Elephas maximus indicus: one gene and its partner. The main gene of each other region encodes a partner of the protein of the gene in region 2 in a complex. Links are inferred from orthologs where the notes say so. Each region holds a gene or a part of one and is shown on either strand. Other genes may lie near its edges.

Region 1 (7,648 bases), about 29 Mb from region 2:
AGCAGCTCCCAAGAGTGTGGGCTGGAAGAGGTTCATACCCTTCCTCCCTGATGTAATGGCAGCTAGAGGGGCAGTATCACATACACATTTCACTTAGGAGAATTCAACCGTGGACCCTTGAAAAATAAGTAAACTGATAGATATCCTCTCATAGTGTGGACAACTCAGAACTCATTGAGATTCTAGTGCTGAAAGATTTAGGGTTTTCATACAGCTGGTTCCGGAACTCAAGGCTTATGTCACATGGTGTTCAAAGGAACCTTGTTTATCTTTTCTTTTATAGGGCAGAGTAGAACTGTCCCATAGGATTTCCAAGGAGCAGCTGGTGGATTCAAACTGCCAACCTTTTGGTTAACTGCCGAGCTCTTAACCACTGCGCTATTTAAGTCTTCCGCTCTTTTGCACTGATGTAACTTTAAAGGCTAAAATTATATTTTGTATGTATAGCCACACCAAGCCAGTTGCCACTGAGTCGATTCCAACTCATGGCTGTCCCAGCGTTTCAGAGTAGAGCTGCTCTCCATAAGGCTCTCAGTGGCTATGGTCCTTCAGAAGCACATCACTGGGACTTTCTTCCCAGGTGCCTCTGGGCGGATATGAACCACCAATCTTTTGGTTAGCTGCTGAGCGCTTAACCATTTGCACCACCCAGGGACTCCTGTCTTCTATGCATTACTATACGTTACATATTTATACAAACATGTTATCATAAAGGAGTGTATAGGCAAAATCACATATACCATACATTAGGGTAATTCATGGATTTTTGAAGATACTGTGGATTACACAGGACTTCTGCCTTATGTGCTGATTTTTGAATCTGATCCCTACTGGAGACTATAGGAGACTGCAGCTCCACCACAAGGATACCATCCTCCACATGCCTTCTCTGGCATCACACTAATGATAACGATGCTGCCTCGTTCAACATCCCGGCAAAGGACCTGAGAAGTCTAATGGCCTATGCCAACAACGACTGGTCACCTACGTACACCCTCCCTCCTCAGGAGCAGAGCTGCGAAATGAGGCACCCTAGGGCCGTCAAAAGAAGGAGGCTGCCAGGTCTGCTCCTGGCTTTTGATTTCTTTTCCAAAGATAGTTTTGGAATCACACTGGCCAGAAGCGGAAACAACAGGGCCACTTCCCTTCCCCAACACCTCCAGGTCCCCAGCCCAGCAGAGGGCAGGTGGGGACGACCCATTCCATACTGCTGAAAAAGGACCTGTTTGGGTTCAGGCTGCAGTTTTTCAGGCCCTGCCATAAACCCACCCTGAGGAGAGGGCTCTAGAAGTATCCACAGGCCCTCTGCATCCCACAGTTAAGGGTCCTTCAGCAGTCTTGACCAGGCCAAGGATCCCAACTTCCGAAGAACACACAAAATAATTGGTGCAATAATTTCATCCTTTCACAAACTCAGGCAAGGATCAGAATGCCCATTTTTCAGATGACGAAACTGAAATCTTGTGTGAAAGCAAGACAAGATCTGGACTTCCTGTCTCCCAAGGCAAGAGTTTTCCAACTTTTTGGTTACCTTTTAATTTTCATCACAGATTCCACTCAATTCTTTCCCCCCACCTTCTTCTCCCTCCAAATGCCTAAACCTCCTCCACCCCTATCCTTTCCTTTTGCCCCTCCAACTCGATTTCCCTGTCTCTCCCCCCGGGTCTAAACACCTCCTTGAATCCCTGAGACCCTCGAGCTCAAGGTGGCACTTAGTGAAGCATCTTCTCTTTAAAATGCTTTCCTGTAGCTTGGCGCCCCTCCTCCGGGTCCCTCATTCCCCTGCTTCCTCTGCTCGCCTACCCTGCTCAGGCCTTTTGTGACTGGCTCCTCCACTCTCTCCTCCTCCGCCCCCATCACCGAGGGTCCCCTCCTGCACGTAACCCGCTCCAAAGCTTTAGCCTGTGTCCCTCTCACTCTCTCGGAGTCCTCTCCAAAGCTCAGGCCTGAGCCTGCTCTTTGCACCAGTCTCCACCCCACCTCCGCAGCCCCTGGGCCCGCTCCGGCACTTACCCGACCAGAGCAGGAGTTTGCCGTGCGCTTCCTCCTGGGAGTCCGAGTCCCCGGCCAGCAGCGTGGAGGTTGCCCCGTAGGGCAGCGCCGAGCCCAGACACACGTTGTAGCGCAGCGGCTCGCAGGGGGCCGCCCGGCCGCAGTGGCTCAGCAGCCGCGGAGGGCCAGTGGCGGCTGCGCTCCTCCTCGCGCTCCCGCCAGCGCCCCGCGGCCCAGACCCGGTCGCATTCCCGCTCCCGGCCGCCCCCCGGCCCCGGCCCCCCAGCAGCAGCAGCAGCAGCCCCAGGAGCGGGAGCGCTGGCCCCCGCGCGGGCCGGGTAGCGGCCATAGCCAGACCCGCCAGCTCAGCAGAGCCCCGGCGCCCCCGCCCGCTCCCGGAACCCGGGCCACACACGCACGCCTCGGGGCCGCGGGGGCGACTCAAGCGACCTGGGCGCCCCGCGAGCCCGGCGCCGGGCCCCCCCGCACGCAGCGCGCGCCCGGGCCCCTCGGCGCCCAACTTCGCAAACTTCGGGCCCCGCGGCCCATGGCGGGCGTCGGAAGCCGGGCCGCGGTGCGCAGCTCCCTACCCTCGCCCAGCGACCCAAGTCGTCTCAGTCCCGGGGGCCCCCCGGACCCTCAACCTCCAGCACCATCCCCCCTCCCACCATTAAAACCGACTCCCGGCCCCTCGGCGGAGGCCAGGCGCGGGCGGGGTGCGGGCGGCGTCCGGGCTCCGCGCCCGCCCGCGGCCCGGCCGCCACTTCGCCGAGCGCGCGCAGCCCCTCTCCCCGCCGACCACCCGGCTCCTTTGTGTTCTCCTCGCTCGGCTCTGGAATGCACCGGCCTCACGGCCAAGCCCGGCCCCTCCGCGCAGCGGGGGAGGGACTGGCCCGGGAGGAGGAGCGCCGCTCGGCGGCCGTGGCGCCCGGAGGGCCTGGGCTAGGGGGCTCGGAGGGCCCTCCTGCCGCCGCCCGCGCCCTGGGGCCAGAGGCGGGGGGAAATGGTGGCCCAGAGCTGCACCAGACCCAGCGGGCACCTTGACTGCTCGGAGGATCTTTGGACTTGGGCCTCTGCAGAGAGCGGCGTGAGGGGCTGGGTGCTGAAGTCAGTGGGAGCTTCTACCACATCCCCGCCCCCCAGCTCCGGCGGTCTTCCCAGCTTTCGGTTAGATCTTTGGACTCGTCTCTGGGCCCATGGAAGAGTACCAGGGTTGGGGTCTCCGTTTCTGCGGTTCCTTCCCGCTTGAATTGTCTGCTCCTTTCTCGTGACTTGCCTAGGAGATGGCCTCAGGATCACTCAGGAGCTGCCTGGCTGCTGTTACCTGTGGGAGCAGGCTGTGAAAACCAAACGTCCCAACGTCGTCTTTATTGCTACAGACGTGTGAAGTCTGAACCGTGGTTCCCAAAGACCAGCCCTGGCGTGTCTTTGGTTGTGTCCAAAGTAGACCAGTCTATCTCTGATAGCCCTTGCTACTGTCTGTTGGCCAGGGGAGTTTCTGCTCCCCTTACCTCCCCGGATCATCTTGCTCTCCCTCACAGGGCTTGATTTCACATCGAGGCAGTTCACACCCATCACCACACGACGAAGTCCAGAAAAGTGGACTTGCATTAAGCAACTTTCCAGTGTTGCTGACCAGACAGCACACTAAGGTGCCTTTTCCTTTCTTAACCGTGGAAGACTAGCTCATAGCCTAGCTGAGTTGGACTAGCTGTTACGTTTGACCTTTTAAGAGCGAATTAGCTATTACACTTCAGTTACTAGCCTTAATTAGCACGTAAATCTGAGTGAGAGAGAGAGGTTTTAATTCAATTTAGCGAGTCTTTCTGAAAATCTAGTACATAAAAACCAAAAAAAAAAACACTGTGTCAGAGTAAAACTGTTCTCCATAGGGTTTTGGATGACTGATTTTTCTGAAGTAGGCCGCCGACATGTCTTCTGAAGTGGTCTTGAATCTGCAGCCTTTTGGTTAGCTACAGAACAGGTTAACCATTTGTACCACCCAGGAACATAGCACTATGAGAAGCAAGACATTCTTGCAGAACTTGAGAACTTGCATTTTACTGGGGAGACAAGGCTTGCCCTTAGGAAACAGTGCAAAGCAGCAAGGCCTTCCTCTCCGGAGCATCTAGTGCAACACCATATACATATTAAGAACTCAATAAACTGCCAAAATGAGGTGCACAGAGAGTGCGCTACACGAGTTTATAGCAGGGAGAGATCAGTGTGGCTGGTGGAAGCGGAGGAGACGGGTCTTGAGCGATTAGGTGGAGTCAGAAAAGTTGAGAGGAGTCGAGGGGGCATTACATGGGGGGGGAACCATGAATCTAGCTCAGAGCATGATTTGCCTGGCTATCAGGGCATAGCAGGAGATCAGATAAGTAGGGAAACTGGTGAAAAGCCTTGACTGATGCACAGGGGAGTTAAGGCTTACTTCTTTTGGCAATAAGGAAAGGGTGCCAATTTTTGATGAAGAAAGTGTTATGTTTAAGGATGTTAATCAGGTGACATGAAGGTGGTATGAGGGCAAGAGGCTGGAGGAAAGGGGCTATTTGGAGGGAAGTTGATGGCGATTTACGGAAGAAATGGGAATAGACTATGTCATCAGGCATAATATTCTCACTGGAAAAAATAATCTAAAACATCATGACCAACTTCAGTTCTTTTTTTTTTTTTCCTGTAATATAAATGTTGTACATGTCCAAGTTTGAGCCACAGTGAAAGTTGTCTTGGTGTCTCCTACCACTCAGAGGTTTTGCTTTGTGAGCCTTCTCCACTCATTTTCTGTCTAGTTGTTACTGTGGTCACTTTGAAGTATTTTCTGAGTTTTCCATGTATTAGGGAGAAACCTACATGTATGCCAGCAAGCCCTTACTTTTCTGCTTAAAAATGTCAGTAGGTAGTTCCTCCAGTATGAAGACACTACCATTCCTTGTCCAGGCACAGCAGAGATTTCTTGGGAGGTATGTTGTAATAGAGTAAGCAGTTTGCAATCGCAGCTAACCTAAAGGTTGGCTGTTTGAACCTACTCAGCAGTTTCATGAAAGAAAGGCCTGGTAAACTGCTTCTGTAAAGATTACAGCCAAGAAAACCCTATAGAACAGCTCTACTCTGTAACACGTGGGGTTGCCATGAGTCGGGGGCGGACTCCAGCTAACAACAACCTTTTACAGTAAAGATAGAAGAGGGTGAATTGAGGAGATTCTAAAGTGTTGCCTTCCCTTCAGGATATTCTTCCCTTTAGGGTGAGAAAGAGATATCTTTATTTTTCAACTTGGTAGGTGTGAGTACGTCTACACACCAGGCTTCAGCATCCTTTTCTGGGAATCCTGCTGGCCTAGGCAAAGGGAAGCAGGAAGACAGACTGGAAAAATTCTCATAGTCCTGTCATAGGCTATGGGGCCAAGGGGGCCAGGTTCCCATCCATGGTAGCTGCAACAATAGCCATAGATCTGTATCTAAAGTGCCTGTGCTGTTCCCCAGATACAGAAGGAAATGGAAAGAGTCAGGAATCCTGTCTAACCTTAGGTTTGGAAGAGGAAAGAAGTCTTCAGCAGGCACTAGGGAAGACAGAATTTCCTGGTACTTCCTGGATGGCATTCAGGGTTCTGGAAGAGCTCAACCATCCCCTTCTGCAGGCACACTAAGACTGCCAGTGTCTGTTAGAGATTCCTCAGAGCAGCCTGACAGGCTCTTGGCCTCAGCCTGGTGGCCAGCTGGAAAGTGCTCCTTTCCTGAGCCTGAGCACCTCCCACCCAGTTTCTCAAGAGTCTTAGCCCGATCTACGTGTCATGACACAGTCCTTCCGTCAGGACCATGAGAAGCTCTCCTGTGTTGACAATGCATTACAGTACCTGGCTTGCTACAAGTAGCTTCTTGATTTCTGAGTCATCCTCATCAACTGTTTTGGCATTTTGAGGTCGCATACTCAATGATGACTCTTTGTCATTTGCCACTGGGCCCTCCACTCAAAGAGGAAGGACATGAAAGTATCTGTGGGATATCCATGGGTATCCTCAAGATCTTGGTTAGTGGCTTATGGTTCAGATTGTCACACTGGCCAGAATTTGAAGCATAATTGTTGCAGCACTCCAGTTTTCTTTCTTCTTCTAGTGTTTTCTATTTTGCAGCTAAGAGCATCAAGTCAAAGGGAAAGTGTAAAATGGGAAAGGAGCTAGATATGCAACCTCCTGAGAGAGGCAGCATATAGATTTGGAGTTAGAAATCTGAGTTGAGCCTTTCTAGCCAAGTGACTTTGAGCAACTTATTCTGAGCCTCAATTTCTTCCTTTATAAAAATGAAGGCATAACTATTTAGCTATAAGGAGTCTAATAAGGATTAGTATGAAGTAACATGACAAAGAGCTTATTCCTTAGGTGCTTAATAACTGTCACTTTCACTTCCCTTTTCTTCCATCTCCAAGATCCTTCTTATGCTGCCATTTCAGTGGTTCCTGGAAGTCCAACCAGTAGCCAATATGGTAGAAGTGTGGCTGCTGTGAAAGGGCTGTCCTACATCATTCCTGTCTGGAGCTGCACATTATAACATCAGGTGGTTTTAGGTCTTTTCTGGGTAATGACATTCTGTTTTTAATCTATGGAATTAGTTTTCCTCTTCTTGGTAAACAGTACCACCATTTATACAGCTGCACAGGCCAAGAATCTTGGAGTTCTCTCAAGCTGTTCTCTTTCTCTAACATCCCACACCCAACCCATGAGCAAATCCTGTCAGCTCCAACTACTCCTCATCACCTCCTCAGCTGCCACACTGGTCTGAACTACCGTCGTCTCTCACCTAGGTCACTCTAAGAGCTTTCTCACAGAACTCCAGTTTCCCTTGCCCTCCCACAACCTATTCTCCCCAGGCACCAGGGCTATCCTACTAAAATAGAAGTAGAATCATATCATTTCTGTGCTGAAAACTCTCTGATGGCATCTCATTATACTTATAATAAAGTCCAAAGATCTCACCATGGCTTCACCAAGGTCCTGCTGACCTCCTGGGTCTCATTTCCTGCAGCTCCTTTTCTAGCTTGTTTGACCTCCAACATGCTATTCTTTTTGCTGGTCCTTATATACACCAAGCAAGCTTCTGCCTCAGGACTTTTGACTTTTGGCTCACACTCATGTCTCACTTCATTCAGGTCCCTGTTCAAATATCCCTTATCTTAGTTAGCTAGTGCTGCTGTGACAGAAATACCACAAGTAGGTGGCCTTAATGAACAGAAATTTACTTCTCACAGTTTAGGAGGCTAGACATCTGAGTTCAGGGCACCAGCTCTAGGGGAAGGCTCTCTCTCTGTTAGCGCTGAGGGAAAATCCTTGTTTCAGCTTCTCTAGCCCTGTGTTCCTTGGTTCCTTGGTGATCTTCACATGGTATCTGTCTTTCTCCCATTTGTGTTTGCTCATAGCTGTACCTAATCTGTTATTTTTATACCTCAAAAGTCATTAGGTTTAAGACACACCCTACACTAACATGGCCTCATTAATATAACAAAGAAAACCCTATTCCTAAATGAGATTATGTCCCTAAGTATAACCAAAAAAAGAAAACTAAACCTTTTGCTGTCAAGTCAATTGCAACTCATAGTGACCCTGTAGAACAGAGTAGAACTGGCCAATAGAATTTCCAAGGAGTGCATGGTGGATTTGAACTG
Region 2 (7,782 bases):
ATAGACAGTATAGAACATGAGTGGAAGCAGAGGGACCAGATAGCAGGCTATTATAATATTCCATAGATACCACAAATGAGAGTATATCAGTGGAGATGGTGATATTTGGCCAAATGCTAGATATAACTGAAGGCAGAGTTAACAGGATTTCCTGTGGGATTAGATACATAAGGCCTGAGGGAAAGAAAGGAATTAAGGATGACTCTAAGATTTTGGTCTGAACAAATGGAAGGAAGAAGTTGCCAATTACTGTATTTTTCTTCCAATGGTACAGGTGCAAGCACAGATAGGCAAAGAGCTAGATTTAATGAGATTTGAAGTTTTTCCTGGTGAATACAATGGTGGGGGTGTTTTGAAGAGAAGATTATCTTGATTGAAGGTGGTAACTAAGTTGGGATAGGAGAGAAATTAGCACATGACATCTGTTGAGGGACAGAGAAAAATGTACAGTTTGTGGATGGAAGGTCTCTGCAGTCTTGAAGAATTGATGGTGATAAGAGAGGGGGCTGGAAAGATTAGAATGGAGGTCAGAGTACGGGGTAGTCATGTTCTTTCCATTGTTCCATAACAATCTCCTTTTCTCCACCTGCATAATACTTGAGAAGAGTCATGGCTAAAATGCAACTATGGCAAATTCCCCCCAAAAATCCTGCTCTCCGTCTACTATCCCGTGTATCTCTCACTCTCCGCAATTAAAACTACTGAGTCTCTTCATTCAGCTTCTGCATTCTCAGTGTTTACACACTCCTTCATTCTACATGGTAAAGCTTCTGTTCACAACAATAGATCAAAGTGCTTTGGTGCATTTGCCAACAATCTCTTCCTGTTGAAATTAAAGACTCACAGGAACTTAGAATTGTTGGGATCGTGCAGATGATCTAATTCAATGCCTACATTTTTCTAGATAGGGATAGTGTAATTAAGGGACATTTAAAGACATGTAATAGACACAGTTTAGAATTGCTCTAAATTCTCCAGTTTACCTACTTACAGCTTCTTTCACCATACCACTATTGCCAATGTTCTTTTTCTTCATACTTGTCCCTGTTGATCTTTTTCTAATGCATTTGAAATCATAAATAGCCATTTTTTTCTTAAACTTCTCCCTCCTTCACTTACGTGCTTATAATTCTTAGTGTCTCCTAGCTTCATCGACATATAAATTAGGCTCACATTTCTATTCATCTCCGATGATTTTAAGATGTATCTGCTTCAGTAGGAAATTAAGCCTTCTAGAAGTATTTTCCAGGTATTTCTACTAGTCCACCAAGGTGGCTTCATATTCACACGAGCACAAACAAGTCTGTTGTCTAAAGTCACTGCCTAATGTCCTTCTGTTTTCCTCTTTTCCAGTGTTCCCTTTTGTCATTGCCACTGGCAATGAAGTTACTTGAGGGAGACTGAGCACTGCCCATAGTGCAGTGCCCATCAGGAGGATGTGACTATCCATGCCCAAAGTACTGTCTTTAGATGGCTTTTAGTGCCTCGGTGCTCAGGTGCCTGAGTCGTGGTACGCTCCACGTAGAGACGATGACCTCCATATCATCTCTGAGCCAGATGTTGCACCCTGTGTATCTGAAGAGCCCTTCTTGTCTCACGAAGTATCTTAGTAGTAATTCTATGAGCTTTTGTTTTTTGACCTTTGCCCAGAATCTCACAGCATGGCTAATGCAAATAGTTTGGGTTTGGTATCTTTATATCTCTAACAGTGTAACAGCACAGATGCCCCTCTATCCTTCCAATTATCCCTAATCTTTCCCCAATCCAAACTCTTCCCTTCTCATTTAGAAAGCAAAAAACTCAAAGCAAACAATAGAGAAGTGTACACATAGCACAACTGCTCCTAATTTAACCAGCCAAAGATGTACTATACACTGCTCTTTTGATCGATGTATGTTTATAGGTCCAGATATAGATATCTATGTCAAAGTCCTAACTCTCTTATATGGTTCCAGTTTATCCCCACACTAATCCACTGACACACCAAGTCAGCATATCTCAAATCCACTCTTCTTACGTTCTTTGGCTTCATTTTGTCAGATGCTAGGACATGCAAGGAAAAGGTTGGAGGCTAGAAGGAGTTTCTGAGTTCTAATCTCAGTTGACACTAATCCCATTTGTCTTCTGAATAACATAGAATCTCAAGGTTGGAAGGGATCTTAAAAGTTATCTCATCTAGCTTTAGACTGTGCCCGGTAAGATATCATACAACCTAAATTTGTACATACTAGTCAAGGATGTTACAAATGTCTCCTTTCAGATGAATTGTACACTGTTCTTCCTTACATCAAGGTAAAATTTGTTTGCTGTAGCTTCTTTCTACTACTTCTAAATCTACCACTTTGGAGACAGAAAGAAAATGTTTATTCCCTCTGATTCATGACATCCCATCAGTTACTTGAAAACAGCTATCATGTCACTTTGTAGCTTCTCTTTCCTACATTACATATTTTCAACTTCTTCAATTATTCCTTATGACAGAGTTCAGAGTTACTTTAAAACCTAGATGTTCTCTGCTGAATGTGTTCCAGTTAGTCTCTTGGCATATGTCTCTGACTCTCTTAATATATGATGCTCAGTATTATTCAGTAATGAAAAGAAATATTGATATATGCTACAACATAGATAAATCCTGAAAACATCATAAGTAAAAGAAGCCAGTCACAAGTGATTACATATTGCATTATTCCATTTCTATGAAATTCCAGAATAGGCAAATCTAGAGACAGAAAGCATAATGGTGTTTGCCTAGGACTGGGGGAGAGGGGTGTAAAATGGGGGCCTGGGGAGTGACAACTAAGGAATGCAGCATTTCTTTTTGGGGTGACAAAGATGTTCTGACATTGATTGTGGCGATGCTTCAACAATTCTGTGAATATACTAAAAGTCACTGAATTGCGTACTTTAAGAGTAAATTATATGGTATGTGAATTATATCTCAATAAAGCTATTTAAAAAAGAAACGTGATGCTTAGAAAGGAAATCAGTACTCTGAAACAAAGTGTTTTCACCTCTAAATCTCAGCTTCACTCTCTCTAAAATGGATGAGTTAATAAACTCTTTACCTTGTTGATAAAGTTGTTGAATCATATTTTGCTACCTCATAATTATGTAAGTTATTAATTAGTTTGAGTGACTTTCATCACCTCATATCTGGATTACTAACACAGTCCACTTGTTGGTAACCCATTTTTTTACACATAGTGGCAAGAGTTTTTTTGAAGCACCTATTCCCCAACTCACTAAGAAGAATATAAGGAACACTTAGTACCCATTGTATCAAGTCCAATTCTTCACCTTTGTATTTAAAGCTCTTTTCCAACTTTGTTCTATACTTCCTACCATTCTTCACAGCCCAGCTAAATTTTAGTTATAAAACACTTGTTCTCTCCTATAGACACTTTGCATATTAACCCTTTTAGCTGGTTATTACTCTCAAACAAAATATACCCCTTGAAACTCCCCACCAATCCCAGTCATCATATCCTTCAAAAGTTCTTTCAAAACTTTCTTCTCTTGGAATTTGCCCTCAGACTGATCACTCTATTACCTGTATCCTCTCAGAAGTTTATATACAGCTAATTTGAAGTTCTTATTCTTTCATTATTATCCTTTAACTCCTAAACTACTTGACAAGATTATCAAATGAGAGAGGTAATGTTTATGATTCTGTTATACCTTCTTTTCTCCAAAACACTTTCTGTAGTCATTTCCACCAGTACTCCGCCATGATTGCTTCATCTTTTGCTGCAACTTTTTGTTAGTCATATGCTCTATCTGGTCCGAAGCTTGCAGGAAAAAAGAATCACAGTAACAGATAATCCAAAATGACTAATACACAAACACTATATCGAAAGTTAACTTCCTTAAGCTTAATTTCAGAGTTACTCATGAACATCAACATTTAGAGTGCCAAGAAATACAAAAAGGTAACTCAAGGCTAATTTTTACAGATGAATTTCAGAAAATAAGACTTCCAGATAGATATCAATTTCTAAGTTTTAGTACATCAATGAAGAAATTTGACTACCAGCCCCATCTTCTAATCAGTCAGCCTTTCCTGTGGTGTGTGTAAGACAAAGATGGAGTGCAACAATGGCAGTTGGGATCACCAGCCTGACAGGGAGAGATCAGGCAGTGAACTTAAGCAATTATATTAGGCACTAGATACTGGGTGAAATGTCTGTCCAGCCCCAAGAGCTCATCTTGCCCAAACCAGTTAGAGCTGGAAGAATGGGGCCATCAAGTACATCAACCCTTCACCATTTTATGAGTGAGGAAGCTAAGGTCTGTTAACAGGAGTGCCATGCCCAATGGCACAGGAGTTATTAACAGGGTCATAAATACTGGTTCAAAATTTGACAAGGAAGTTCACAAGCTGCTCCAGAGGAGGTCTGTTACGGTGTGGAGCAGATTTGTTTGTGTGGGTGTGTTTTATTGCTCTGGTCATTTTTTATACATGCTTTGATTCTTTGTCTCTCATCTTCTCAGATTATGAGGAAATCCTTCAAAATGTTGTTTGTGAAAAAGAAAAGTGATAATGGGTGGAAGAAAAAAGGACATTACAAAGGACGGGAAACTGAAGAAAAGGAGAAAGTTACTGACCCGTTTTCTCCCCGACTTTTCCTGCTCCCCACTGTCCCCATCTCTGGTTCCACCGCGGCTCCGTTCCCTTCCCAGCTGCCTGTTTCCCACGGCCCAGAACGCCACCCGACAGGGGTTCTACATTTTGAAAACCCTTGCGTGGGTGCGGAGCTGGGCATGCTCAAAAGCTCAGGACTGGCTTTGCTCGGCTCTCAACTTTGGCAGCTCTCCCACCGCCACACCGAAAGCGGCAGGTCCGCACAGATCCCTCGGTGTGAGTAAACGGGAAGAAATTATCGCACTCCCTCGGAGGGAGGCGGGTGGCAGAACGCGAGGACCCAGCCTCACCGGGCAGTTCCGCGCTCCTGTGGGCGCTTCCAGGGCGCGGGCTCGGGGGGTGGGGGGTGCCCGGATCTCGGGGACTGCTCGGCGCCGGGGAGCGGCCGGGCACGTCGGGAACGCGGGGGCGCGCCCCTCCGAGGGAGCTCTGTCCGAGGCAGGTGCGCGGGAGCGCGCTCTGGGAGTGGTCCCAGGCTGGCGGGAGGGGCGGGCAGGGGCGGGGCCGCGGCGGCGCGCGGACGCCGAGCTCCGCGGGGCTTGGAGAGGCTGCGGCGCGGCCAGCGGCGGGAGGGTGGCAGCTGCTGCATCTGGAGGCTCCAGATCCCGGGCTTCTGGGCGCTGAGGGGCGCCAGGAGCGGAGCCTGGCCTTGAGGAAAGGCTTTGAAGAGGCCGCCTGCTTCCTTGCAGACACCTTTTTCCTAGATTCCGTTGACGAAGTGGGTGGGGGTGGTGTGGCCCACGTCGGGAGGTATTTGAACTGCCGCATCCAGAAAGAAAGAATTTCCCCGTGTTTGGAGACAGCACATCGGACGTGGAGGGAGCGGCGGTAACCTCTCGCTCTTGGCACAATGGGCTGTACGCTGAGCGCCGAGGACAAGGCGGCGGTGGAGAGGAGTAAGATGATCGACCGGAACCTCCGCGAGGATGGCGAGAAGGCGGCGCGCGAGGTCAAGCTGCTGCTGCTCGGTAAGGGCGGCCAGGCCGGACGCCGGGGTGGGGAGGACGGCCTGGGGGTCCCAGGGGCCGAGGGGGAGCAGGCCGGTGGGCTGGGCGCGGCGCGCCGGGCTGGCTGCTGCCGGGGCTCGGCGTCTTCGAACCCGAAGGGAATGTGTCGAAGCGGCCGATGGCGCGTCTTGTAGCGCCCGAGGGTGGTTTCGGAGAGGGAGGCTGTCCAGGGCGGTGCAGCGCCCAGGGGTGCCCTCCTGTCCCCCGGTCGTCTGCCTCCCATCGCCGTGGAGGGCGAGAACTCGGCCGCGGTGGGGCAGGAGCCTCACTTCATCCGAAGCTTTCGTGTGGCCCCTGCAGGTAGCCAGGGAGCGATTTTAAAGCGGCAGATGGCGCGGAAACCCTTTTCTTTGAAGTTAGCTCAGCCTTGTAAAGATGAGCATTCATGGCAAGAAAATAAGAGTCTCCCTCCCCCGGAGACCTTTCATACCCGGTGTTGTGTCGCGGTTGTGGTTTCACTAGTCCAGAGTGGCACTTTGCGTGAAATCAGTGAACCTTTTGTGGGGCCTTTGGGGTTGAAATGTGTCTTTCCTGTCAACTTCCGATGGCGATTCAGTAAGTGTTACAGGAACACTGATTGTATTTACCTTGCGGAAGGAAATAGGCTGCTCTACGTGCTTTATTTTTCCTACTCCGGGGGCATGGAAACCACCAAAGTTGGGTTACGTTCGCTCCAGTCGTGGATCAGACGGATAAATGAGTGAGGAAAACTGATGTGAAAGGTGCGAAAGGGTCACGCCGACAACAGGATTCTCTCTCCGGCCGCCACGGTTTCTGATAAATGAGGTTTGCCAGGTACAAGCCAGGATTTTGTTTAGTCTTAGTCCTCATAATGAAACGTTACGTGGAGGACTTTTTCCATTGCTAATGGGGGAGAAAATAAAAAAAGAGTAAACCAGGGTTTTGACTCAGGGATATGTTAGGAAGATATTCACAGTTTAAGATGTTTAGTTTTATGAGTTAGGGTTTTCTTTTGTTTCCTTGACTCCCTTGCCCCCACCCCCACCCCACTCTAAGTAGAGACAGGTTTCTCAGAATCTTCATTTGCACTTCCAGCGATTGCTTATATATATATAGACATACATACAGTTATAATAAAAGAGAAATATTGCAGAAACCTGTTTTCAGCAAGCGTCTGTGTCACTGGTTTAATGACTGCAGAAAAAAATGGTGGGTTTTTTTCCCCCATCACTAGCAAGCTTAGAAGCAGCGAACCTGGCATGACTAAAAGTAACTATGATCTGAGTCATTCTGAAAGTAAACTGAAATAACTTTGCATTTCAAAGACCTGAATGTCTTTACCTCCTCCCCACAACATAAACCTTCCTCAATTTATACTGTTTACCTGAGGTTTTGCATTAATACCAAAAAACCAAACCCCGTGCCGTCGAGTCGATTCTGACTCATAGCGACTCTATAGGACAGGGTGGAACTGCACCATAGTTTCCAAGCAGCATCTGGCAGATTCGAACTGCCGACCCTTTGGTTAGCAGCCGTACCACTTAACCACTACGCCACCAGGGTTTCCTTACATTGATAAGAAATACTATATTTTTGACCAGGTCAGTATATTTGCAGTGTACTGAGCACAGAAGAGACACAATTTGCTAAAGAAACACTTCGACTTTTGTGAATTGCATGAGCTTGAGAGTAAAAATAAGACAGGATTAAAAAGTTCCTTTGTTTAGTTTTTGCCCTCCTGCTCTGGTATTATTTTTGTATATTTCATCGTATCTTAGCTTGAGCCAGCCATCCACCATGTTTAAGACAATTGCAAAATGATTCCTCTGGTGGTGGTGGTTTATGCTTTAATGAGATGTCTGTTAGAAAGGGATAGAGTTTATTTTTACTTATATTCAGAATAGACTAGTGTTTCTCAACCTTAGCACTATTGATACTTTGGGCCAGATAATTCTGTGTTGTGAGGGCTCTTCTTACATCATGCAATATTTAGCAGCATCTTTGGCCTCTTATGATTTGGATGCCAGAAGTCTCCCCCTCAGGTTGTGACAACCAAAACTATATCCAGACATTGCCAAACGTTTCCTGGAGGCAAAATCAACCCTGGTTGAGAACATCTGGTCTGCATTAACAAATATAGTTGAGTGTGTGATGTAGAACCAAAAGTTTCAT

What was found. Proteins that work in one complex are often made in the same cells at the same time.
Region 1: the proteins of GNAI1 (region 2) and SMO are in contact, whole or in part, in a cryo-EM structure (PDB 6XBM), measured with the Homo sapiens proteins. The link is inferred for Elephas maximus indicus from reciprocal best matches to the Homo sapiens genes GNAI1 and SMO. Residues at the interface, in NP_002060.4 of Homo sapiens: Glu28, Arg32, Glu33, Lys192, Leu194, Gln333, Phe336, Asp337, Thr340, Asp341, Ile343, Ile344, Asn347, Leu348, Lys349, Asp350, Cys351, Gly352, Leu353, Phe354; in NP_005622.1 of Homo sapiens: Arg261, Pro263, Ala264, Trp339, Ser342, Phe343, Ala345, Leu346, Gly347, Thr348, Thr349, Tyr350, Ser354, His433, Pro434, Gly435, Ser438, Lys440, Ala441, Lys444, Ile445, Glu447, Thr448, Arg451, Trp535.

The regions. Positions count from the first base shown.
Region 1 is NC_064826.1:20,915,283-20,922,930, forward strand, and holds the start of SMO (smoothened homolog), read right to left. Parts: upstream 3,018-7,648; 5' UTR 2,342-3,017; coding exon 2,014-2,341; intron 1-2,013. UniProt on the Homo sapiens protein: G protein-coupled receptor which associates with the patched protein (PTCH) to transduce hedgehog protein signaling. Binding of sonic hedgehog (SHH) to its receptor patched prevents inhibition of smoothened (SMO) by patched.
Region 2 is NC_064826.1:49,915,575-49,923,356, forward strand, and holds the start of GNAI1 (guanine nucleotide-binding protein G(i) subunit alpha-1), read left to right. Parts: upstream 1-4,766; 5' UTR 4,767-4,858; intron 4,859-5,018; exon of another isoform or gene 5,019-5,084; intron 5,085-5,175; exon of another isoform or gene 5,176-5,445; 5' UTR 5,446-5,492; coding exon 5,493-5,610; intron 5,611-7,782. UniProt on the Homo sapiens protein: Guanine nucleotide-binding proteins (G proteins) function as transducers downstream of G protein-coupled receptors (GPCRs) in numerous signaling cascades.